Callithrix jacchus: one gene and its partner. The protein of the gene in region 1 binds, or shares a complex with, the protein of each later gene. Links are inferred from orthologs where the notes say so. Each region holds a gene or a part of one and is shown on either strand. Other genes may lie near its edges. The genes, in order: JAML and CXADR.

Region 1 (12,596 bases):
AAGTGAGTCTTCTGGGGCTTAATCATTTATTGATTCTTTTTCCCTCCGTGGACAGCTCCTGATTTCCTGTCTTGAAATTTTCTTTTCTCTGAGTTACCTTTGGGGCAATTCTAGATCTTGTAAATTGCTTACCATCTCTTTGGAGACACTGTGTGTCTGTGTTTAAGTCATCCCCTTATTTACGGCTTACAAATTTCACATAGGAGGTAACCTTTAGGTAAAGATTCAAAAGCCAGAAATATTGGCCATTTGTCCTGGCTAAAGTCTGGTAATAAAAGATTTTTAAGGGATTTTTACTTTGAGAACCCCATAGTCAGAAATCAACTTAATTAAAGATGATATTTGGCCTGTATTATACAGATACTGTTTTAAAAGCCCCTGCTGGTCAGGCACAGTGGCTCATGCCTGTAATTGTAGCACTTTGAGAGGCAGAGGCAGACAGATCGCTCGAGCTCAGGAGTTTGAGACCTGTCTGGGCAACTTGGGAAAACCCCATCTCTACCAAAAGCTGGGTGTAGTGGCAGGCATCTGTAGCCTTAGCTACTCAGGAGGCTGAAGTGGGAGGATCACTTGAGCCCAAGAGGTTGAGGCTGCAGTGAGTTGTGATTGCACCACTGCACTCCAGTCTGCCTGTCTCAAAAAAAAAAAAAGCCCCTTCTCTCTAAAAACTTCTCAGTCAATGGAATTTTGTCTTGATTCTCCATTTCTGTCTGTCTGTGTATTTATATGTGTTGTGTGTATAGTATTTATATAAAAGCTCTAATTAATTGGCTTAAGGAAACTAAAATCAAACCTATTATCAGAAAAATTGAAACTTTAATCTCTTTTAGGTCACATGACTCTAATGATTAAAAAAAGACTGTAAATATAATTTAAAAATAAAGACAGTATAAATAAAATAAAAAATAAAGACAGTGTAAATATAATACAAAATAAAGATAGTGTAAATAAAATAAAAAATAAAGACAGTGTAAATAAAGAATGTGTTCTCGGTGGGAGGTTATAAGAAGGCATGTGAGTATGGTTTCTGTAAAAGAGAACATAATTTTGTCTAGCTCAGAGGGTTTTAAGTATTGGCCTCACCTAAAAGAGTAACGGGACAGCTTGGCATGGTAGCTCACGCCTGTAATCCCAGCACTTTGGGAGGCTGAGGTGGGCAGACCACTTGAGGTCAGGAGTTTAAGACCAGCCTGGCCAACATGACAAACCCAATTTTTGTATTTTGTAAAAATACAAAAATTAGTCAGGCATGGTGGCAGGTGCCTATAATCCCAGCTACTTGGGAGGCTGAGGCAGAGGAATCACTTGACCTCGGGAGGTGGAGGTTGCAGTGAGCCAAGATTGTACCACTGCACACCAGCCAGCCTAGAAAACAGAACGAGACCCCTTCTCAACAACAACAAAAAAGAGTAATGGTACAAAACTGATGATTTAAGCGTGTTGAAAATGATTTGTGAAGGGTTAATCTTGTGAAAAGTTCTGTGGGCATAAGGAATCATTTAGTTTTTCCATAGGTCAAACACTGAAATAAAAGCATACTGATGTAGGGCCAGAATCTGGGCCCATGTGTCTCAATAATGGCTTTCCAGAGAATTTGTTTGTTCAACAGAAAATTGTAAAGACTTAGGAGAGGTTTATGGACATTTTACCTTATGGTCAAACTGATTATGATTGTATAGATTTGTTTATAAGATTTTATTAAGAATTATGTTTAACATTAATAATATACTAATGCAAAGGTGAAATTTGGCTTTCTCTTTTAAACAAGATTTTTATGTAATGTTTTAAAATAATGAAAGATTTTTGTTTACCTTTTAGTAAACAACAGAAAAAGGAGGAGAGAGAAACAGATTTGGTTGGCCTCATGCTGTCTTTATTGTGACCTGTTTGGAAAGTGGCGTCTCCCCTCTATTAGCAAGTAAAGATTTTGCCTTTAGACATTTTGGACTTATCCTTTGGCTACAGAAGTGACTTGTAGCGACTCTATACTAATCTTCTCTGAGCAACTCTCCTCCAAACCCTGTAGAGTAAGGAGAACAAGTGGCACCCCCTCCCTCCAAAAGGAAAAGTCCATACCCCTTCATATTACTTAAGGGATTAATTACCATTCCCCTACCAGTCCCTGGTAATATCCAAATGCCCCACACCCCTTTGAGGCAACTATATCCTTTCCAAGATGGGTGCCTGCTTAATGTTTACCCAACTTCTGAATTCATCTTTCCCTCTAATATCTCTTTTTCTCCCAGAAAAGCTACCGAAATCTTTAACCAATAGGTTCAACCTAGATAGTCCTACCTCAGGGGTTTAAAAAGAGCCACACTTATTCAGGCACACCCTAGCAAGAAATTTAACCCAGCAATCTCTTGAGGGGGGATAATCTCTTCATTTGTGCCCCTTTCACAGAACTCACACAGCAACACGCAGTATAAACCTTAACTTCCTAACAAAAGGAAAATATTTTTTGTCTAATTCAAAGATTACTTAAAGGTTATATATAGGCTGGGCATGGTGACTCACTCCTGTAATCCCAGCACTTTGGGAGGCCAAGGCAGGTAGATCACCAGAGGTCAGGAGTTCAAAACCAGCCTGGCCAACATGGCAAAGCCCTGTCTCTACTTTAAAAAATGCAAAAATTAGCTGGGTGTGGTGGCACACACCTGTAGTCACAACTAATTGGGAGGCTGAGGCAGAACAATTGCTTGAACCCATGAGGTAGAAATTGCAGTGAGCCAAGACTGTGCCACTGCATTCCAGCCTAGACAATAGAGTGAGACTCCATATCAAAAAAAAAAAAAAGAGGTTATATATAAAACAAGGTAAAAGGAACCAGGAAATAAGAGAGTTATAAAGAATAACATAAAGGTGAAAGCCAAGTGCAGTGGCTCACGCCTGTAATCTCAGCACTTTGGGAGGCTAAGGTGGTAGAACACTTGAGGTCAGGAGTTCAAGACCAGCCTACCCAACATGATAAAACCCAGTCTCTACTAAAAATACAAACATTAGCCAAGCATAGTGGCATCTACCTGTAGTTTCAGCTACTTGGGAGGCTAAGGCCTGAGAATCACTTGAACCCAGCAGGCAGAGGTTGCAGTGAATCGAGATTGCATCACTGCACTCCAGCCTGGGCATAGAGTAAGACTCTGTCTCAAAAAAAAAGAAGAAGAAGAAGAAGAAAAAAGGTTATAAAAGTGAAGAGATATTTTTGGTAAGGAGAGTTATAAAGAAAGAGATTTTATGTAAGAAAGGATCTTGTGTTGTAAATTCTTGTTGTAAAGTAAAATGACCAATTGTTAAGAAACAAGGATGTTGGCTGGGCACAGTGGCTCATGCCTGTAATCCCAGCACTTTGGGAGGCCAAGGCAGGCGGATCACCTGAGTTCCGGAGTTCGAGACCAGCCTGGCCAACATGGTTTCACCATCACTACTAAAAATACAAAAAATTAGCAGGGCATGGTGGCAGGTGCCTGAAATCCCAGCTACTTGAGAGGCTGAGGCAAGAGAATTGAACTTGAATGTGGAAGGCAGAGACTGTGGTGAGCCAAGATCACACCACTGCGCTCCAGCCTGAGCAACAAAAGTGAAACTCCATCTCAAAAAAGAAAAAGAAAAAAATATATATTTAGGAGAAGTCATAAAGTCTAAGCATGTCATACATGGTATAAGCCATGAGAAAATTCATGAAAGAAATTTATTAAAAGAATGTTGTATGTAACTGAGGTATAATAGTCCAAAATTGTTCCCTATGCTGTGTCTATTTAAATTCAAATGCTTTTCATCAAGAAACTTCCAGGTTATCTAAAAGGGCTTTCAATAAGGAAAAACAGTCACACTGCAAAAGACGTTTCTTCACATTTTCAGTAACTGGCTTAAGAAACAAAATTTTACCTTCTGGAATTCAGCACTTTCGCCTTCAGATGATGTTGTGAACGGGACATCAGTCTCTCCCTATTGATGGCTGCTACCTTTACAAGTCTCCCCTGAATTCAGCTGGATACCAGTTTTGCCTTCACATGCTCCCTCCTCTGATGAGACCCTTCCTCCAGCAAAATCTAATGTCCTATATCCCACAATCCAGGACAGTGATCCACAGGGTCCCTTAACAGATCAACAATTCTAGGTAGGGAGAACGCTATGCCCCTGGTCAGCAGGAAGCAGCTGGAAGATGAGACCTCTGCCCAATGCCCAAGATTTGTCATTGTTGCTCTGCCAGGGGTGGAATGTAGTGTCCTGATAAGTAAGCGACAATGAGGAAGGGGCCCCAAGTTGGCGAGGGCCCCAGGTGGGGAAGAACAATGAACAACTGTACTGAGAGTCAGCAAATCAAACAACCCAAGGCCACAACGACCTCTGTGGGCACAGTGACCTCATTCCACAGGTAGCCCCCTCTAGCACAACCCTGTAAAACTTCTCTCTAGTCCCTGCCTCTCTGTAGACAGCCCTTTCCTGTTGCGATGCCCATGGCAATCTTGCAACATATTTCATACCTTCTCTAATAAATCTCCCTTTCTTTACTTACGACTTTCTTGGTAAATACCCTTACCTCCCGTGACACCGGCCCTGGCTAGTCACTACCCAAGACAATATGGAGGTCCCTCAAAAAAACTACAAATAGAACTACCATATGACCTAGCAATCCCACCACTGGACATTTATCCAAAGAAAAGGAAATCGGTATATTGAAGAGACCTCTACACTCCCATGTTGACTGCAGCACTATTGCAATAGCCAAGATACAGAATCAATCTAGGTGTCCAACAACAGATAAATGGGTAAAGAAAATGTGACCTATGTACACAATGAAATATTATTTTAGCATTAAAAAGAATAAAATCCTGTGTTTCGCAGTAACATAAATGGAACTGGAATCCGCAGTAGCAGAATTCCATTCTGTTAAGTTAGATAAGCCAGGAACAGAAACTTAAACACTGAGTGGTCTTACTTATATGTGGAAGTGAAAAATGTTGATCTCAGAAGTAAAAAGTAGAACAGAGGATGCTAGGGGAGAAGGGACATAGGGAGAGATTTACTAAAGGAAACAAAATTACAGCTAGATAGGGAGAATACGTTTGAGTGTCCTATACCACATTAAGATGGCTAAGGCTGGCCGGGCGCGGTGGCTCAAGCCTGTAATCCCAGCACTTTGGGAGGCCGAGGCGGGTGGATCACGAAGTCAAGAGATGGAGACCATCCTGGTTAACATGGTGAAACCCCGTCTCTACTAAAAATGCAAAAAAAAATTAGCTGGGCACGGTGGCATGTGCCTGTAATCCCAGCTACTTGGGAGGCTGAGGCAGGAGAATTGCCTGAACCCAGGAGGCGAAGATTGTGGTGAGCAGAGGTCGCACCATTGCACTCCAGCCTGGGTAAGAAGAGCGAAACTCTGTCTCAAAAAAAAAAAAAAAAAGATGGCTAAGGTTAACAATGATACATAGTTTCAAATAGCTAGAAGGAGGATATTGAGCGTTCCTAACATAATAAATGAAAAAAATCTTTGAGGCAATGGATCTGCTAATTAGCCTGATCTGATCACTATACATTGTATGTATGAAAACATCCCTGGGCACTCACTCCATAAATATGTGTAATTATTATGTGTCAATTTTTAAAAGTTACTAAACAATGTAGGGGAATTGCTCTCCTTGGCAGGTACTACAGAAAAAAAAAATCTTTAGAAAAGCAGCATGCCACATAAGATTCGTACCTCCCAAAATTACAATATCATGAGACAAAATAAGGGAGAGTTGCTGTCTCTTAGTCAGAGATTGTCCCTAGCAAGGACAACTAACCACTGAGAAAATGAACAACAGCACAGCCTTGCCTTACTCAAAGAGTGTTGTCCACCTGCAATGCCAAGTCCCCTCAATCTCTCTGCGCACTGCTGTGCAGCTCTGGGCTCTCAGGCGTTTTTAGGTATACGAGTCCGTGTAACCACTCTACGCCATGCCTCTTAAAATATGCCTTCATTTTTCCTTCTTAAGCCACTAAATACAGACTGGTAGGTTACACGGCTTCTGTAACACAGTCCAGGTCACATCAGTTAGCCTTCTACACGAATGGGACCCTGGAGGTCCTTACTCCTGCTTCCTTCTTCAGACTGGGTTATATTTAAACCTTCATACATTGGCCTTTCCCAAGGTCAGGGCTGTGCTGAGGTATAATAAGTATGGCCAGTAGCCTAGATCTCTTGGGAGGTTTAAGTCTCAGGCTCCTAAAGGTTAAATATTGGCTTGTCTGTAATGGGGAGAAGAAAACAGTGGTGTAACTACGTGAAATGATGGCTATATTAATCTGCTTCACCATAGTAAACTTTATACTATCTACAGGTATCTACAGCATTATGTTCTATATCTTAAACACACATAATAAAATTTGTTTTAAAATAAAATTTAAAACTGTCTTCTAAAAATAAAAACAGTGAAGGAAGAGCTCTGCCATGAGCTCAAGGACAGCCAGTCATGGCTCTACCAAAACCTAGAGATGACTTAAAAGCTGAAGCCTTATCATCATCATCGTCATATACTCATTATGAGCAAACTTTGCTCCTCTTTTTGCTGAGGAGATTCACCTAAGTTACTCCACACGACAGTAATTGAAACAGCACCCACTAGACTGCTCTATGACATCCCCTGCAGAGATCAAGAGTTCTGCAATTCACAATCCTGAGAGACTGCCAATTCAACGAGCCTTCAGAACTGGCACACTTCTGAATGAGAAAAGTTCAAATAATGGCTTAAGAAATTCAAAGCGACTGCTTACCCAAGATGATGAGCACCCAGGAGAAGCGATGCACTGAAATCTTCCTGCAGCTGCAGTTCCCAAGCTCAACCGAAAGACTTCTGTGAGCACTCTAGGTTAGGTCAGAGCCACCAAACACGTGCCTTCTGAAGTGGCTGCAGAGATGCAAACAGGAACTCTAAGCTTCTCATTTCAGTCTTCTAACCCATTACCCAATTTTTATGTATACTCTCATTCTAAAAGGAGGCGACAAATTCAACACACTGAGGTGAACCTTACACTCAGACCTCTTCAGGGGCCATCTCTTCTTTTAGATGACAAGGTGCCATCTCCTGCCTCTGAGGGTAAAAACTTGAATGACACCAGGCATATAATAGGTGCTGAGAAAGAAATCCGTTTCATGAAAACAAAATACAATAAATTTAATATTAACAAAAAATATTCTGTGTTTAAGATACAGCAACCTCTTCTATTTTTCCTCTCAAAACAGAGGTGCAACCTTGCCAGGCAATCACCCAACCCCTGCTTCCAAAGATCTGCCTGCCCAGTCCTCCAGCTCACCACCTACACATGGTAGTTTCTTCTGGTCATGTGATATCAGCCTTTCCAGAATACCAGAAGCAATTTATTCTCACAGAGAACCTCTTGGGTGACTTAGATATCCTAGATAAGAACTCAAGGCTTCTTCACTTCAAGATACCTCTCAGTTACCACTTCAAAATAGGTGTTTTCAATGGACACATCTTCAATCTTGACCTAGACATGGGCAGACTCATCTTATGGAACTTGTCCTGTATCATCTGAAAAGCTGTTGAATGTTTGCTCCCAAGTACTATGCTACGTGGTCCTTGAGAACTTGTGTGCTGGACAGCCAGCTATCTCCACAGCATAAATATCTTCGTCATGGCCTATTTCAAGCTACCAACTGGCCTGCAAAATTCCTAAAAATTTAATATGGGTGGAGTATCCCTTATCCAACATGCTTGGGAGCAGAAGTGTTTCAGATTTCTTATTTTTTTCAGATTTTATAATATTTGCCAAAAATATACCAGTTGAACATCCCTGATCTGAAAATCCAAAATGCTCCAATAACCATTTCTTTGGAGCATCATGTTGGCACTAAATGTTTCAGACTTTGGAGTATTTCAGGTTTTGTATTTTCAGATTAGGAATACTCAGCCTGTAATCAGCTCTTGCTATGTCAGCTGGTTCCAGCACTCCACGGAATCTCTGCAGGTTCTTGCTGGGGTACAGCCCAGACGTGACTGGTTGCATAATGGTGAAAACCACTATTAAATCAGGCTTAGCCTAAAGCTGCCTCCTCACATATTTTAAGTTTGGCCTAAAGGTTTTTCTGTACCTCATGAACTGTAACCTAAATGGAATAGTATACAGACTGTAGTCTACTCTTGTGCCAGTCATGGAGTTTGGCCAACCGAAGACAGCCAATGGTTCAAACTGTTCAAATAAGGCAAACCCCGAGCTGTAACCAATCAGCTGTTTCTGTATCTCACTTCCGTTTTCCGTACATCACTTTCCTTTTTCTGTCCATAAATCTTCTGCCACATGGCTGCGCTGGAGTCTCTGAGCCTACTGTGGCTCAGCGGACTGCCCGATTCATAAATCATTCTGTACTCAATTAAATTCTTTTCAATTTAATTCAGTTCAAGTTTCTCTTAACACCACAAACCCCCATCTCTTTCACATGACAACTCCCACCTTATATGTAGATAACCACACACAAAAAGGTAGCCGAAGGGAGCAAAGAACTTTATTAATTATGATGCAGTAAAGATACCAAGAGTTACAATATCTGTGCATATGCCCCAACAGTGCCTACCCTCCTACAAAAAACAAAAAAGGCAATGAGATGCGGCAGTTAACAGCCCAACACTGGAGTCACAGGAACGGAGCTGCCTCTTCTGGCAGCGAAGTTTCAAGTTGTGCAATTATATAACAGTCTTGGCCCACTCCTTATGGTCTCCTTACAGTTTCCCTGTAGAACCATAACTGAGTGACTTAGTAGAAGGTTCATATTCAGGATGTGGCCTCCAGAAGGGTCATTTTGTTTTGTTCCGTTTTGTTTTTAACAAAGACGTGCTACCTTCTCTCCTGAAGCACCAGTGCCGAGTTCAGGAGCTGCAGAGGACTAAGATGTTCCCCAAGAAGCCTGAAGTAGCAGGTCACATGGAGAACACAAAGCAATTGACAAGTTCACATTTTGTAATAGAATTAAGAGCTTAATGCCTAAAACTCCAGGTAATGTAACTTCAGCAGCTAAGTAAAACTTCAGCAGCTAAAGAAAAATTCTGAAAGGTTTTCAACCCCTTCTGAACTAAGTTCCCTTTCTAAATGAAGCTGGTTTCCAGGGGTATGACAAGTGCCCATGGAGTAGCAAAGTGAGCAAAATAGCACCTTAGAAGTTATTCAACAATAGGTGAGACAGGTAAACAGTAAACCACTTTCTCTTCCTTTCATCCTTAAAGAAGGCAGGCATCTGTACACTGCTTTGGGACCCTTTGAAGAATAAAAAGCTGTAACCCAAATCTCAATATAAGGGATAAAGAAGGAAAATGATAGCAGCCAATGACAGATGTGACTACAAACCCATGAAGTCAAGTAAATTAGGTAAACTAAATTGTCAACGTACTCTCTTACCATGAAGGACTCTATTGTTCAGTTTTTAAAAGGAAGGGACTAGTTCAAGTCACGATTAAGGCTGCAAAAGAACATGACTAAGTACTCGCAGAGCACCAGCTACCTCGAGCTTAGACTAGGTGTCAGTCTACAAACATACCACCCGGCAGTGATCTTCACAACACACCTGCAAGGACTTTACAAGAAGGCCCGGCCAAAACTGGTTCCTCATTTAATGGGATGTGGCTTTCAGTGAGTTCCTGTGACATTATCTCTTTCTCGGAGAAATGAGGACACCGAGAAAGTTCCCCTCACAATTAGATCTCTATCTTCAAATCTCTAGAGATTTGAATTATTTACTCTCTTTGCTCCAGTTCCTTTCCTCTCTCTGCTGAGGTGTCAGACATGGTCACGTTAGATTGGCCTGAGACAACCGCATAAGTTAACAAGCAGCCCAAAGTACCATGAGGTGTAACCACTGGAAATGTCAGCTGCCGGTCCTGTCTGTGCCCTTCTACTTCCTCGCGTGACCAGAGTCAATCACGATATCCTCCAACTAAACAGATTTTCCGATCTGTGGACCAGGTTAATAGTAGAGACCAGGCCAACTCCATGAGACAGATCTAACAACCCACATGTTTTAAATTAGATCTTGGCAAAAAAAAAGAGAGAGAGAGAGAGAGAGAGAGAGAGAGAGATTGAGAGAGAAAAGTGGTTTTTAAACTAACATATACACTCTAAAATGCTGTAAGATGGAAACTTCCTGAACTATCTAATGAAAACCATGAAAAGGGATCAACCTGTTGAAAGAATAGAGACCAGTGAGGGGATAATTTTTGTCTCTCATAATTGAGAAGTGAACCCGATCACTATTACAGAGGACTGTTTATATATGCACTATCCATCTTTACTGATATGCTATCTATACGCCTTCAGGGCTTATAAAAATTGGATCACGAGGTCAAGAGATCGAGACCATCCTGGTCAACATGGTGAAACCCCGTCTCTACTAAAAATTACAAAAAATTAGCTGGACACGGTGGCGCGTGCCTGTAATCCCAGCTACTCAGGAGGCTGAGGCAGGAGAATTGCCTGAACCCAGGGGGCGGAGGTTGCGGTGAGCCGAGATCGCGCCATTGCACTCCAGCCTGGGTAACAAGAGCGAAACTCCATCTCAAAAAAAAAAAGTCCCATGTAAATTAAAATTTGAAACAAGCTGTTATAGCAGAATGGAGTAAGCTGTTACAAGGCACTGAGAACAGAAAGGAGAACTATGCTATGCACAATCTCACTTCCTCATCTCAAATATTATGTAAAAACAGCTTACAAGTCCTCATAGTTTACTCATAGTTGGCACATTTCAGAAATCAACAAAGTTTTGAAAAACAATACAAGTGAAAACATGATATATTCGCAAAGAACTCCTGAAATACTCTATAAGCCGCTACTAAAAACCTGTAAAGAATTTTTCTTGCCTCTGACTTGAAAAGTAGTAGCTATAAAAGACTCCTTGGCCCAAACTGTACCAGCAAGACTAAAGAAAATAATTATTCTACCTCGCTATTCCCTTCCTGAATTGTAAATTGATGACATTGTATTTAATACTTTCAAAACCCAGTCAAAGCAAACCAAAGATTTGATCCCATCAACTTTAAGGAAACTGAGAGTATACACTCTAAGTTACCCAAAAACAACTGAGGTTGAGGTGGTTAAACCAACGAGCGTATGTCCTATCCTACTCACAGCTGAAAGTGTACCTGGAGCAAAAAACAAAGAATACCATCCTAAGCAAACGTTTTGTCTGGTGACAAATCAGGAAGCCACAAGCGCCACTTCATTTAGAAAGTGATTCTGGCATCAGCGGTGCGGCCTACATGCAGGATTCTCCTTCGAACAGTTGGAGGAAAACGTAATACATCCCAGAGCAAACATGAAGCAAAAAGCATCTTTTTGCTCAGGAAAAGAATTTCTTCATTCAATTACAGCATAATTTCTTGAAAGGGGAAGTCATGAGTCTCTTATGAGAGTTCTTGCACAGTTTATAAATACAACAAAACATTTATTCAATAAATAAGCGGTTCCGAAAGGCTTCACTGATGATCTCCAGGACTGTCCATCACTATGGTCCCGGCTCCACTTCTCTGACAGGACGTAGCTGCCAGTGGAATGGGATGCTTCCCGTTATTAGGTGACTCTTCTTATGACATGCAGACTTTCATCAATATGTCTCTTCATAGTCTGAATCCTGGAGGGGGAAAAACAGTAGGTGTGAAACACAATTCCACAGTCGGAATTTAGGCAAAGACCAAATGGAACCTGGCTTGGGACACAACCACAGTGAAATGCCACTAACTCAATACACCTAAATTCCCATGGAGTTTCACAGGACCTCAATATAATTGGTGTCTATGGGGCTAATTTCTGCTCTGAAGCCCTAGTGGTTTCCTTTCCCTTTGTGAATATTTTTTAATTTTTTTATTTTATTTACTTTTTTTTGAGATGGAGTTTCGCTCTTGTTACCCAGGCTGGAGTGCAATGGTGTGATCTCGGCCCACCGCAACCTCCACCTCCTGGGTTCAGGCAATTCTCCTGCCTCAGCCTCCTGAGTAGCTGGGATTACAGGCACACGCCACCATGCCCGGCTAATTTTTTGTATTTTTAGTAGAGACGGGGTTTCACCATGTTGACCAGGATGGTCTCGATCTCTTGACCTCGTGATCCACCCGCCTCGGCCTCCCAAAGTGCTGGGATTACAGGCTTGAGCCACCGCGCCTGGCCGTGAATATTTTTTAAAACCTCCACACACAGGCACATTTTCTTAACACTACAAACATCACTGGAATCACCCAGCAATCTTTTCCTCACTCTCTTGCAGAAATGTACAAATCTGTGGTTAGGAGTTTAGACTAGGTGTCAATCTACCACTGAGTTCACCTCCTGCTAGCTTCATGACCTTGGATAAAGTTATCAACTTCTCTAAGCCTCAGTTTCCTCATCTGTAAAATGGAATAATAAAAATACACCTCATAGAACTGTTATGAGAATTGAATGAGATAATACATGAAAATTACTTAGCACTGTGCCTGGCACTTTGTAAGCACTCAATCAAGACTAGTTCCTGTTACCACTATTATTATCCAAACTCATGTTCATTACTTCTAACTTCAAGTGGGCCATTAGTACTATCTGGCATACCACATTTCTCTGGTCTACTCATTCTCCTT
Region 2 (11,960 bases), on another chromosome or scaffold:
CAGAGGATTTCTTGTAGCCCTTTTTTCCATGTTTTTAGATGAGTCATGACCGCTGCTGGGAGAAACCACCAGAATTGTATTCTCTTGAAGGTGAGAATGGGATTGAAGCTTATCTATTAGTTTTGCCTGGAAAGTCTGCCTGGATAATCTGGGGCAAAAGATAAGATGAAGTGCCCTCTAGTGACCCAACTGAGTGGTGGTCACTGGAGCTCATTCGAGTCACTGGTTGGTAGTGGCTCTGTCTAATGCTTTGGTTCTTTGGTGGGAAATCTGAAGTAGTTGCCCTCATGGCATTCACAGTGTAATGCCAGTTCATTCATTGAGCGGGTGTGTTATATGGCCATTCACCCAGACAGATGACTGTTAGTCTTCTGGATGTGAGGGGAAGCTTGTTGCTATAGCTTGCTCCATTGCCATGCCTGCCTTGCTCTTTCAGACACAGCAAAAGTGTATGTGGATGCAGCTCAGTAAAGAAGCAGCGGAAGTGGGAAATGATAACAAAGAGAATTGATAGAAAGTTACTATTGTGGCCACATATCACCAGCATCTTCCCCTGGAGCTCTGAAAGGGCCAGTTTATTGAAACCTTTTGATCTAAAGAGACAGAGTTGTTTTGAAGAGCAGAACATGCAGTTAACATTCCTGGACATATGTGGTTACTCACACTGCAGCATGCCACCAGATCACAGTGGCAACAGTAAGTGTAGCAGCTCAGTCATCACTGGCTTTAAAGGTCCTAAGGGATTTGCAAACCACTGATTCAGGGCAGGGCCCCTCACTACTTTTTATTTTGAAATAATTTTTAGTTTTATAGAAACGTTGCAAAAATACTGGGAAGTTTCTGAGAGTAGACCCATCATCTCATTTCCCCTAATGTAAACATCTTACAAAATCATAATTATCAAAACAGAAATTAACCTTGATAGGATACTATTAACTGAATTACAGACCCGATTTGAATTTTACTGTTTCCCAGGAATGTCCTTTTTGTACTAGGATTGTATCTAGAATCCACACTGCACTTATATCTCCTTGATCTCCGCCAGTCATGTCCAGGGGCAATGATATCACGTCTTATTGTTAATCGTGATCATTTACTTTAAGTTTTATCTGGTGGGTTTCTCCACTCTATAGTTATTTTTTTCCTTTCTAATTAAAAACTGTCTTGAGGGAAATACTTTGAGACTATGTTGTTTCTCATTTAAACATTTGCCTTTTGATTTTAGCATCTATTGATAGATTTTTCCTGGAATCAGGGTATTTTTGAACCAGTCAGAAACTGTATTTTTGGAAGGATGATATCATGATAAAAGCATTTCTTGTCTCATGTAGAGATTTAGAGTGTACTTCCTGTAGACTGGTATAGGCCACTAGCATGGAAAGATGATGCAGTAATACATGTATAGAGCAGAGCATTACTAAATTGATGGGATACCATGTCCATCTTCAACTCGATAGTCACTTACCCTTATCTGAGGACGATTGACTCTGTTAATGATCATGTAGGCAGATGTTCTGAGGACAGTGGTCAGGTATGTGGGAAGCCCAGACCAAACATTTAGGGACAAGACTTTATTTGTGCTCTCTTTGTGGTTTTCTTCTGTTCCAGCAGAGGACCATGGGTTAAGAATTAATCTTCCTTGCTTATAGCCATTACTGGAAATAAAAAAAAAAAAGGATTAATCTTCCCCGAGGTATAATGGTTGGATGTTGGCATGTAAAAGACTCGTACTTTCTCTTCCCAGTGGAAAGTAGGTGGGCTGCTCCAAAGTGTCCCTCAGAAACCCATGTTGGTAGAATTTTTATTGTGGATGGTTATAGTGAGGACCTGAACTTCCTAGCAGCAGCTTTAAATAACTCTCCATTATTAGATATGTTTAGATACGTTGGTTATGTGGGAGAAGAGGGATATAGAAAGGATAAGGGTTAGACTTAGAATTCCATATTACCCATAGATGTTTGATGCACAAAGCATTGCATCAGTTACTCATTTGCTGCTAATCTATTCCAATAAAGGATTTATTGGTAGTTTGAAGAAATGAAATAGAACAAGGCTTATTTCATTGAAGACTTTCAGGATGAAATAATTTGCAAAACTTATTTAAAAGTCCAACTGATAGAGTCTCCAGAGCACCTGGTCAGTTTGAAAAGTAAACAGATTTGTTTGGAAAAATCAACAATGCAGTTAAATATGTCTGTTAACCCTTATTTTAAAAGTGTTAAGTAGTAATAGATGAAGAGGAATACAGTTAAATTTGTTAAGGACTTACTAAGGAGTAAGATCACAGTTGACAACCTTAGTTTGAAGATACCCCACTGGATATGACAAATTGTGTTGAGCCAGTTTTGGGAAACAATTTGACAATTTCTTACACGGTTAAAATATTTACACTCACCATATGATCCAGCAGTTACTACGAAAAAGGAAACCATATGCCAGTGTTCAAGCAGTGTTCTTAATAGTGCAAAACTGTAAAATGCATTTACCTTTATTCATAGTAAAGAATAAAAACCCATTTGGGACTGAAAAAAGGAAAATCAGCTTAAACTAAAAATGAAAAAAAGCAATCTTGACATTTATCAGCCTGGAAGGACAGATACAGATAAAGTCAGCTGCAGAGTATATGAAAACATTGTCTCTCCCAAGCCTGTAGAGCAGTAGCAAAGCATAGACTATTGCTATCTTCCTAATGGTGCTCCCAGACCTACACTACCCATCCTCTACTGGAATGCTCAATTACTAAATGGCCCTGCCTCCTGACAGCTCCCACTTCCAGTTTAATCCTCATATCTCCTCAGAAACAGCCGGTTGAGAGCTGATGGCTACTTCCTTAGAACCTCCTCAGAATCCTTCAGCATCCTTACTCTTGTCCAGTGGCATTCTGTGGTTCCTCATAATGCCTTTCTCACTGGTCCATATGATTTTGATAGACTAAACACTTGCTCCTTGTCAGTTTGGCTAACAAGGCTTTCATAGTAGCCCCCAAACTGGAAACACAGTATTCATTAACAAGTGACTGAATAAGCAAACTTGTGTTATAATCATTCATTGAAATACTAAAATAACTACATGTAAAATAACATGGATCAATCTCAGAAATGGTATGCTGGATAAAAGAAAACAAACAGTATGTACTGTATTGTTCCATTCATGTAATTCTGGAAGAACTAATCTACAGCAGTAGAAATCTAATCAGTTGCTTCTTGGGCCAGGGTTTTAGAGTCACATGTATTGTAACTAGCATGAGGGAACTTTCTTCGGAGAGGGTTGGAGTGGTGCTTAATGGATACAGATCCATTTATTAAAAGTAATCAATGCACATGATTAACATGTTAACTGTATTGTGTGAATATTATGCCTTATTAAAGTTCAGCAGAAGAGCCTGCAATGTGGAGGTGTTAATCCAGGATTGGGGTGAGTTGCAGGTAATGGAGGTAGTCGCTGTCCTAAACAGTTACCCAGGAACACCTGGAATATAATCTCAGATTTCCTTTTATTTTAATATTCTTTTTTACATATGAATTTCCAGATTGTGAATATCTTTTTGACTCAGGGTCTGGTTCTGTCACCTAGGCTGGAGTGCAGTGACATGATTATAGCTTCACTGCAGCCTCAAAGTCTTGGTCTCAAGCAGTCCTCCTTCCTCAGCCTCCCAGGTAGCTAGGACAACAGGCCACATATCACCACATTCAGCTAATTTTTCAAAGTTTTTGTAGAGAAAGGGTCTTGCTATGTTACCTAGTCTGGTCTCAAACTCCTAACCTCAAGTGATCCCCTGCTGCCTTGGCCTCCCAAAGTGCTGGGATTACACCATGCCCAGCACAGATTTTTTTTTTATAACCTGCTCTTTGGATGGATTTGAGTTGATATAAATGCAGAGTGTTAGTTGGTCCTTTCTACACTAAATGAATTATCCCTGTTAGTATTTTTGATTATAAACTGCCTGATTGTCAGGGTTATGGCATTAGAGGGGTGTGACTTGGGACATACTGCCAGGGGGCTACATGTCAAGCATGGAGAAGAATAGCTAAGGAATGGAAGGGGGAGCTTCCTTGATTCTCAAGTGCTCTTGCCAGAAAAAAGCAAGTGCATCATCCTTGGTTTTTCAGGTATGCCTCGTGGAGTGGATGGGCGCCGAGCTACGCCTGAAAAATTGCCATATCTACTAATGCAGTGGCTGCTTGTCTCTGAGCTTATTCTTTTCTGTTTTGTCTCAGACAAAGCTGAGTAAACTGATGTTGATCACTTATTGTGGTCTTTCATTTTTTTGTGAATTCTGAACCCAGGACCAATTGATAATGAGTCAGTGGTTGTGCACAAGGCTGTAATCATAAAAGTAAGTTCCATTATCTTATGTAAACTCATAATTTATTTTCTTTTTCAGTTAAGCCTTCAGGTACAAGATGTTATGTTGATGGATCAGAAGAAATTGGAAATGACTTTAAACTAAAATGTGAACCAAAAGAAGGTTCACTTCCATTACAGTATGAATGGCAAAAATTGTCTGACTCACAGAAATTGCCCACTTCATGGTTATCAGGTACTGCTGATAATAGTATTTGTACCATGTGCCGTTGATCTGGACTAAAATATAGTAGGGGGGGGGTGTGTGTAGTTTGAGATAGGGCCTTGCTGTCTCTTCCAGGCTCACTGCAATCATGGCTTACTGCAGCTTCGCCCTCCCAGGCTCATGTCATCCTCCTGGAACTACAGGTGCATGCCATCATGCCCTGCTAATTAAAAAAAAAAATTGTAGAGATAGGATCCCCCTGTGTTGCCTGTGCTGGTGTCAAAGTCCTGGGCTCAAGGAGTCCTTCCTTGGCCTCCCAAAGTGCTGGGATTACAGGCATGAGCCGAGGCATGTGCCCAGCCTGCTTATATATTTTAGATTCCAAATGCTTTCCCTCTTCTACATAGAACAATCATGATTTCCATGGGAATTATTTAGTATTTTTTAATATCAATTTAGTGTCATGTATTATAAATGAAGAGCTATTTTATGATTTCATTTTTTAGGATATTATAATTTGTTACTTTGGCAGATTTTTTTTTTTTTTCTTTTTTCCTGAGACAAGGGGTGTCACTCTGTCACCCAAGCTGGAGTGCAGGGGCAGGATCTCGGCTCCCTGCAGTCTTCACCTCCCAGGCTCAAGTGATCCTTCCTCTTCAGCCTCCAGAGTAACTGAGACTACAGGCATGTGTCACTACACCCTGCTAATTTTTGTATTTTTTGTAGAGATGTAGTTTCTCCATGTTGCCCACATTGGTCTCAAACTCCTGGGTTCAAGCTCTCCACCCACGTCAGCCTCCCAAAGTGCTGGGTAAATTATAGGCATGAGCCATTGCACCTGGCTGATTTTTTTTTTTTAATTGATGAGAAATGTTTATGGTTATGACTTAGTGGCCAAAGTGTAATAAGAGTTGGATCTTTAGTGTTCTGCCTAAATTGAAATATAGTAATTTACCCATGGTGTGTCTATAAAAGAAAATCTGTGTGACACTAAACTAGAAAGTTCCAAATTGGCTGAATCTGTTCACCTATTTGCTGTAATTGACTTCTTAGTTTAAACTGATTACCAGGCTCCACCCGCCATCCGCTGCATTCTGGGCTTCAGTGGGCTTTCTCTGCCTTTCTTTTTCTCAAGCTAAGAGTCCGATTTGGGAGACCCCCATTGACTTCTTTTTGAATGTTTCTTCCATCGAGGGGGATAAAATAGGTTTTGTAAGTTTTCCTGCTGAATGAAAGATCCTTTGTAGAACGGGATAGTTTTATAGTCTGATGTGCCCCAAAGTGGGTTTGCAGCAGCCACACAGTGGGCCAACACACTGCTTCAGCTCTGAGGCCCTGTGGTGCAGGGGATCATGGTTACTTTCACCTTGATACATGTGAACTGGAAACATGATTCTTTGAATTCTGGAGACATGTGTGTGGCTCAGTGCTAGTTTGTTTGCAGCCAGCTTTGATCTGTCTTGCTTTTAACTGCATTGTCAAACTTGGTAGGGGCTATGTTTACTAACAGCTGAGAGTAATACATACTATAAAACTGAGTTTGTTTTTCCTCCTTCCATAGAAATGGCTTCATCTATTATATCTGTAAAAAATGCCTCTTCTGAGTACTCTGGGACATACAGCTGTACAGTCAGAAACAGAGTGGGCTCTGATCAGTGCCTGTTGCGTTTAAACGTTGTTCCTCGTAAGTATCTTCTTTCACTTGGTGGTTTTCTTTCTGTTATCTCTATACCATCTTCTTTAGTTCAGTTAGCAAGTGTGTATTAAGGGCAAGGGGACTCAGCCTTTGATCAGAACACTGGTTTGATTATTAGCTTTTCTAGAAAAAGTTTTGTTTTTTTTTTTTTTTGAGACGGAGTTTCGCTCTTGTTACCCAGGCTGGAGTGCAATGGCGCGATCTCGGCTCACTGCAACCTCCGCCTCCTGGGTTCAGGCAATTCTCCTGCCTCAGCCTCCTGAGTAGCTGGGATTACAGGCACGTGCCACCATGCCCAGCTAATTTTTTGTGTTTTTAGTAGAGGAGGTGTCTCACCATTTTGGCCAGGATGGTCTCGATCTCTTGACCTCATAATCCACCCACCTCGGCCTCCCAAAGTGCTGGGATTACAGGCTTGAGCCACCACGCCCGGCCCGAAAAAGATGTTTTATTTTAAAAACTTCATAATTGCAATGATATATTAAGAAGGTAAGAATTGTCAAATCAACCCTCGTACCATACTTATAAGTGTGAGTAGCTCAGAATATTCTCCTATGCTAATCAAGATAGCTTTGAATATTAAATTCTTTCAGACAGGTTTTATCATTTTTATGTTTGAAATAGATTATACAGTTCAGAAGAAAGTTCTTCTTATGAATTTTTTCTCTGGATCAAAAAGACTAAATTATTTGTCTCTTAAAGTTAATACATGTGATGAAATCAATCTATAAATGTGTAGCCTACCTTCAGTATCTATACATGTGTATTTTTTTTTATTATTAATTCTCATTAACTTCTTATTTTTAGCTTCAAATAAAGCTGGACTAATTGCAGGAGCCATTATAGGAATTTTGCTTGCTCTGGTGCTCATTGGTCTTATCATCTTTTGCTGTCATAAAAAGCGCAGAGAAGAAAAATATGAAAAGGAAGTTCATCATGATATCAGGTAATTATGTGAGACAGGAGCTGACCGATGATGTATACCAAGTGTGTGTCATGTCTCTAAAGCATTAGTTCTTTATTAACCATCCAAAGCAGCTTTCTTAGGAAAATGGATAAAAGCTTAGGCCCCCTTCTCCTCAATGCATTTACTGGTTTTTTTGTTTGTTTTTTGTTTTGAGATGGAGTCTCGCTCTGTCACCCAGGCTGGAGTGCAGTGGCATGATCTCAGTTCGCTGCAACCTCCACCTCACGGGTTCAAGCAATTCTCTTTCCTCAGCCTCCAGAGTAGCTGGGACAACAGGCGTGCACCACCACACCCAGCTAATTTTTGTGTTTTTTAGTAGAGACGGGTTTTCATCATGTTGGCCAGGAGGGCCTCGATCTCTTGACCTCATGATCACTTGGCCTTCCAAAGTGCTGGGATTATGGGCGTGAGCCACAGCGCCTGGCCAAGGCTTCAATGATTCTTAATGTCTCACTGGTGGAAGGTTTTGCCTCAGTGTTGATGCTGCTGCCGAAGGTTGGAGTGGCTGTGGCAATTTCTTTCTTTCTTTGGTTGTTGGTTTTGTTTGTTTGTTTGTTAAGACAAGGTCTTGTTTGCCCAGGCTGAAGTACAGTGGTACAGTTATGGCCCACTGCAACCTCTGCCCCCTGGGTTCAAGTAATATTCCCACTTCAGCTTCCCAAGTAGTAGCTAGGACTACAGGCATGAGCCACCACACCTGACTAATTTTTGTATATTTGTAGAGATGGGGTTTCACCACATTGCCAAGGCTGGTCTTGAACTCCTGGGCTTCGTTAGCTCCTACCAAGAATGTCAACCTGTCCTTTAAAGCATTGAAGCCACACACCAACTTCTTTAGCTATGAAAGGCCTAGATGGTGTTTTCTTGCAGTAGAAGTCTGTTCTGTCTGCTGAAAATCTGTTACTTAATGTAGTTACCTTCATCAACGATCTTCTGGATAACTTTCTGTAGCTTCTTCATCACCACTTTGTCGCATCACCTTGTACTTTCATGTCATGGAAATGGCTTGTTTCCCTAAACTCATGAACCAGCCTCTGCTAGCTTCCAACTTTCTTTCTGCAGCTGCCTTAGCTCTCTCAGCTTTGATAGAATTGAAGAGACTTAGGGCCTTGCTCTGGATTGGGCTTTGGTTTAAGGGAATGTTGTGACTCTTTTGACCCTCTATCCAGACCAGTAAACTTTCTCCATATCAGCAATAAGACTGTTTCACTTTCTTATTGTTCACATGTTCACTGGAATAGCACTTTAAGAACTTTTTCATTGCATTTACAATTTGGCTTGGCTGGGGCAAGAAACTAGCTTTCAACCAGACTTGATTTTCAGCATGCTGTCCTCGCTAAGGTTAATTATTTCTGGGTTTTGATTTAAAGAGGGCCATGCTGATGATTGCTTGAGTCCAGGAGTTTGAGCTTGCAGTGAGCTATGATCACACCACTGCACTCCTGCCTAGGTGACAGAGTAAGACTGTCTCAAAATAAATAAATAAAATACATATTTTTTAAGTGAGAGCTATGCTAACTATTCCTTTTACTTGAACACTTAGAGATCACTGCAAGGTTATTAAGTGGCCTAGTTTTAATATTGTTGTGTCTCAGGGAATAGAGAGGCCTGAGGGAGAGGTGAGTGACAGGGGTGGGGTAGAGTGGGGGAATGGCCAGAATACACATAATATTTATTAAGTTTGTTGTCTTATGTGGGCATAGTTCATGGCGCTCCAGAACAATTAAAATAGTAACATCAGAGATGACTGATCACAGATCACCCTAACAGGTATTATGATAATGAGAAAGTTTGAACTATTATGAGAATTTCCAAAATGCAACACAGACATGAAGTGAGCACATGCTATTGGAAAAATAGTACTGGTAGATTTGCTTGGCACAAGATTACCACAAACCTTCAATTTGTTATTTTAAAAAATGCAATCAATATCTATGAAGTGTAATAAAACCAAGTCACAATGAAATGATTATACCTGTATTTTTTAAATTTACTGAAGATCTCAGATACACAGTTATCCTTTGGTATCTGTGGAGGACCTCCTGTGGATACCAAAATCCAAGGATGCTCAAGTTCCTGATATAAAATGGTAGCCAGATGCAGTGACTCAGCCTATAGTCCCAGCACTTTGGGAGGCCAGGAAGGAGTTCAAGTCACCAACCTGAGGAAGATGGAAAGACTCCATCTCTATTAAAGAAAAAGAGGCCGGGTGCGGTGGCTCACGCCTATAATCCCAGCACTTTGGGAGGCCGAGGCGGGTGGATCATGAGGTCAAGAGATCGAGATCATCCTGGTTAACAAGGTGAAACCCCGTCTCTACTAAAAATACAAAAATTAGCTGGGCATGGTGGTGCACGCCTGTAGTCCCAGCTACTTGGGAGGCTGAGGCAGGAGAATTGCTTGAACCCAGAAGGCGGAGGTTGCAGTGAGCCGAGATCCTGCCATTGCACTCCAGTCTGGGTAACAACAGCGAAACTCCGTCTCAAAAAAAAAAGAAAGAAAAATAATATAAAATGGCATACTGTTTGTATATAACCTTCACATATTCCTCTGTATACTTTGAGTTATCTCTAGTTTATTTGTAATACCTGTTATAATGTAAATACTATGTAAATGGTTGTTATAATGTATTGTTTAGGGGATAGTAACAAATCTGTACATGTAAGGTAGAGATGTTATTTAAAAAAAAATTTTCTATATGTGGTTTGTTGGCTTCACAGGTGTGGAGCCCATGGATATGGAGAGCCAACTGAGCTCTTTGTCAGTGTGTGGAATGAAAATTCTTATGCTTAAATTCCCAGCAAACTTAAATCTCTAGTGTTTTCAGCTAAGGTTTTAGATAAATTTAATAGAAAACAAATTTTTCTTTTTTTTTTTTTTTAATTTTTTGAATTTTTATTTATTTATTTATTTATTTTTGAGAGAGTCTCATTCTGTCCCCCAGGCTGGAGTGTTGTGGCATGATCTCAGCTCACTGCAACCTCTGCCTCCTAGGTTCAAGCGGTTCTCCTGCTTCAGCCTCCCGAGTAGCTGGGATTACAGGCGCCTACCACCACGCTCTGCTAATGTTTTGTTTTTCTTGAAACGAAGTTTTACTCTGTTGCCCAGGCAATGGTATCATCTCAGCTCACTAAAACCTCCGCCTTACCCAGATTCAACTGATTCTTCTGCCTCAGCCTCATGAATAGTTGGGACTACAGGCGTGTGCCACCGCGCCTGGCTAATTTTTATATTTTTAATAGAGATCAGGTTTCACTTGTTAGCCAGATGGTCTTGATCTCTTGACCTCATGATCTGCCCACCTCGGCCTCTCGAAGTGGCTTACAGGTATAAACCACTGAGCCTGGCCAATTTTTGTATTTTCAGTAGAGACGGGGTTTCACCATGTTGGCCAGGCTGGCCTCAAACTCCTGACTTTAGGTGATCCGTCCGCCTCATCCGCCTGAAGTGCTGGGATTACAGGCATGATTAAGATACAAATATATCTGTAGGTGTTAGTGTTTTATCAACTGTAAAGTGTTATGTGGCTGTAACTAGATTATCTAGACCAGTGATACTAGAATATGAAACTATTTGAGATTTATGCTTTGTAAGACAACATTCTAGAATCAGCTACATTTGTGTAAATACTATATTTCACTAAATGTGAAGTTGTAACTCTTTAATCAGAATGACAAATTGGGGACGCATACACAATTTATGATATTATGGTTTGTTCTTTTTGTTTTTTTGTGACACACAAACACACACACACACATACTTTTATATGCTTAGTATTTAAATATAGGCCCTTGCCCATGATTCATAGCTTGCATAATTGTAGGTTTTTAGGAATGTATTCTCTTGACATGTGTTGGGGATTCTGTTTTCCAGGGAAGATGTGCCACCTCCAAAGAGCCGTACGTCCACTGCCAGAAGCTATATAGGCAGTAATCATTCATCCCTGGGATCCATGTCTCCTTCCAACATGGAAGGATATTCCAAGACTCAGTATAACCAAGTACCAAGTGAAGACTTTGAACGCACTCCTCAGAGTCCCACTCTCCCACCAGCTAAGGTAGCTGCCCCTAATCTAAGTCGAATGGGAGCGGTTCCTGTGATGATTCCAGCACAGACCAAGGATGGGTCTATAGTATAGAACCTCCGTATGTCTCATCTGTGCTCTCCATGTTTCTTTCCTTTTTTTTTTTTTTTTTTTTTTTTTTTTGATATATGAAAACCTATTCTGGTCTAAATTTTGTTACTAGCCTCAAAATATATATATAAAAAAACAGGAACTGTAAGAAATATATTTTTAAAAATTTTTCTTTGGTTATATTGAAATAGTTACAGGCATTAAAGTTAGTAAAGACAAGTTTACCATCTGAAAAAGCTGGATTTTCTTTAAGAGATTAATTTTCAAGATTTCTGAATATTAGTACCTAAGTAAATGTAGCACTTTGATTATGAAATCATAGGTGAAGAAATTGGTTAACTTACTTGCATATCAAGTTGATACTTGAATAACCATCTGAAAGTGGTACTTTATAATTTTTACCATTATTTTTAGGATGTGTATCTCATTTATTTATGTCCCAGCAGTCTCCCCCAAATTAGTAAGAAAACATCCATAACGAAATTACTTATGTATGTGTGTGCTTGTTTTTGTAGTTCCTTTGAAAACTCTAAATATGTTTGGAATAAAACACAGAAAACTACAGTGGTTTAGAAATTACTAGTTTTACTTTTAAGTCATTCATAAACCTTGTCTATGAAATGATTTCTTAAATATTTAGTTGATAGACTGC

What was found.
Region 2: the proteins of JAML (region 1) and CXADR are in contact, whole or in part, in a crystal structure (PDB 3MJ7), measured with the Mus musculus proteins. The link is inferred for Callithrix jacchus from reciprocal best matches to the Homo sapiens genes JAML and CXADR. Residues at the interface, in NP_001005421.3 of Mus musculus: Arg57, Asp59, Ala69, Tyr72, Phe75, Tyr77, Leu80, Val82, Glu120, Arg122, Ser127, Met128, Val129, Met130, Lys131; in NP_001020363.1 of Mus musculus: Thr23, Gly51, Pro52, Asp54, Glu56, Leu58, Ser60, Gln65, Ile66, Val67, Asp68, Gln69, Val70, Leu73, Tyr83, Lys121, Lys123, Lys124, Ala125, Pro126, Gly127, Val128, Asn130.

The regions. Positions count from the first base shown.
Region 1 is NC_133511.1:17,865,307-17,877,902, forward strand, and holds the start of JAML (junctional adhesion molecule-like), read right to left. Parts: upstream 6,828-12,596; 5' UTR 6,757-6,827; intron 1-6,756. Other genes in the region: MPZL3 (myelin protein zero-like protein 3), read right to left, coding at 11,591-11,617. UniProt on the Homo sapiens protein: Transmembrane protein of the plasma membrane of leukocytes that control their migration and activation through interaction with CXADR, a plasma membrane receptor found on adjacent epithelial and endothelial cells.
Region 2 is NC_133522.1:24,525,675-24,537,634, forward strand, and holds part of CXADR (coxsackievirus and adenovirus receptor), read left to right. Parts: intron 1-4,384; coding exon 4,385-4,540; intron 4,541-6,071; coding exon 6,072-6,194; intron 6,195-7,013; coding exon 7,014-7,152; intron 7,153-11,046; coding exon 11,047-11,311; 3' UTR 11,312-11,960. UniProt on the Homo sapiens protein: Component of the epithelial apical junction complex that may function as a homophilic cell adhesion molecule and is essential for tight junction integrity.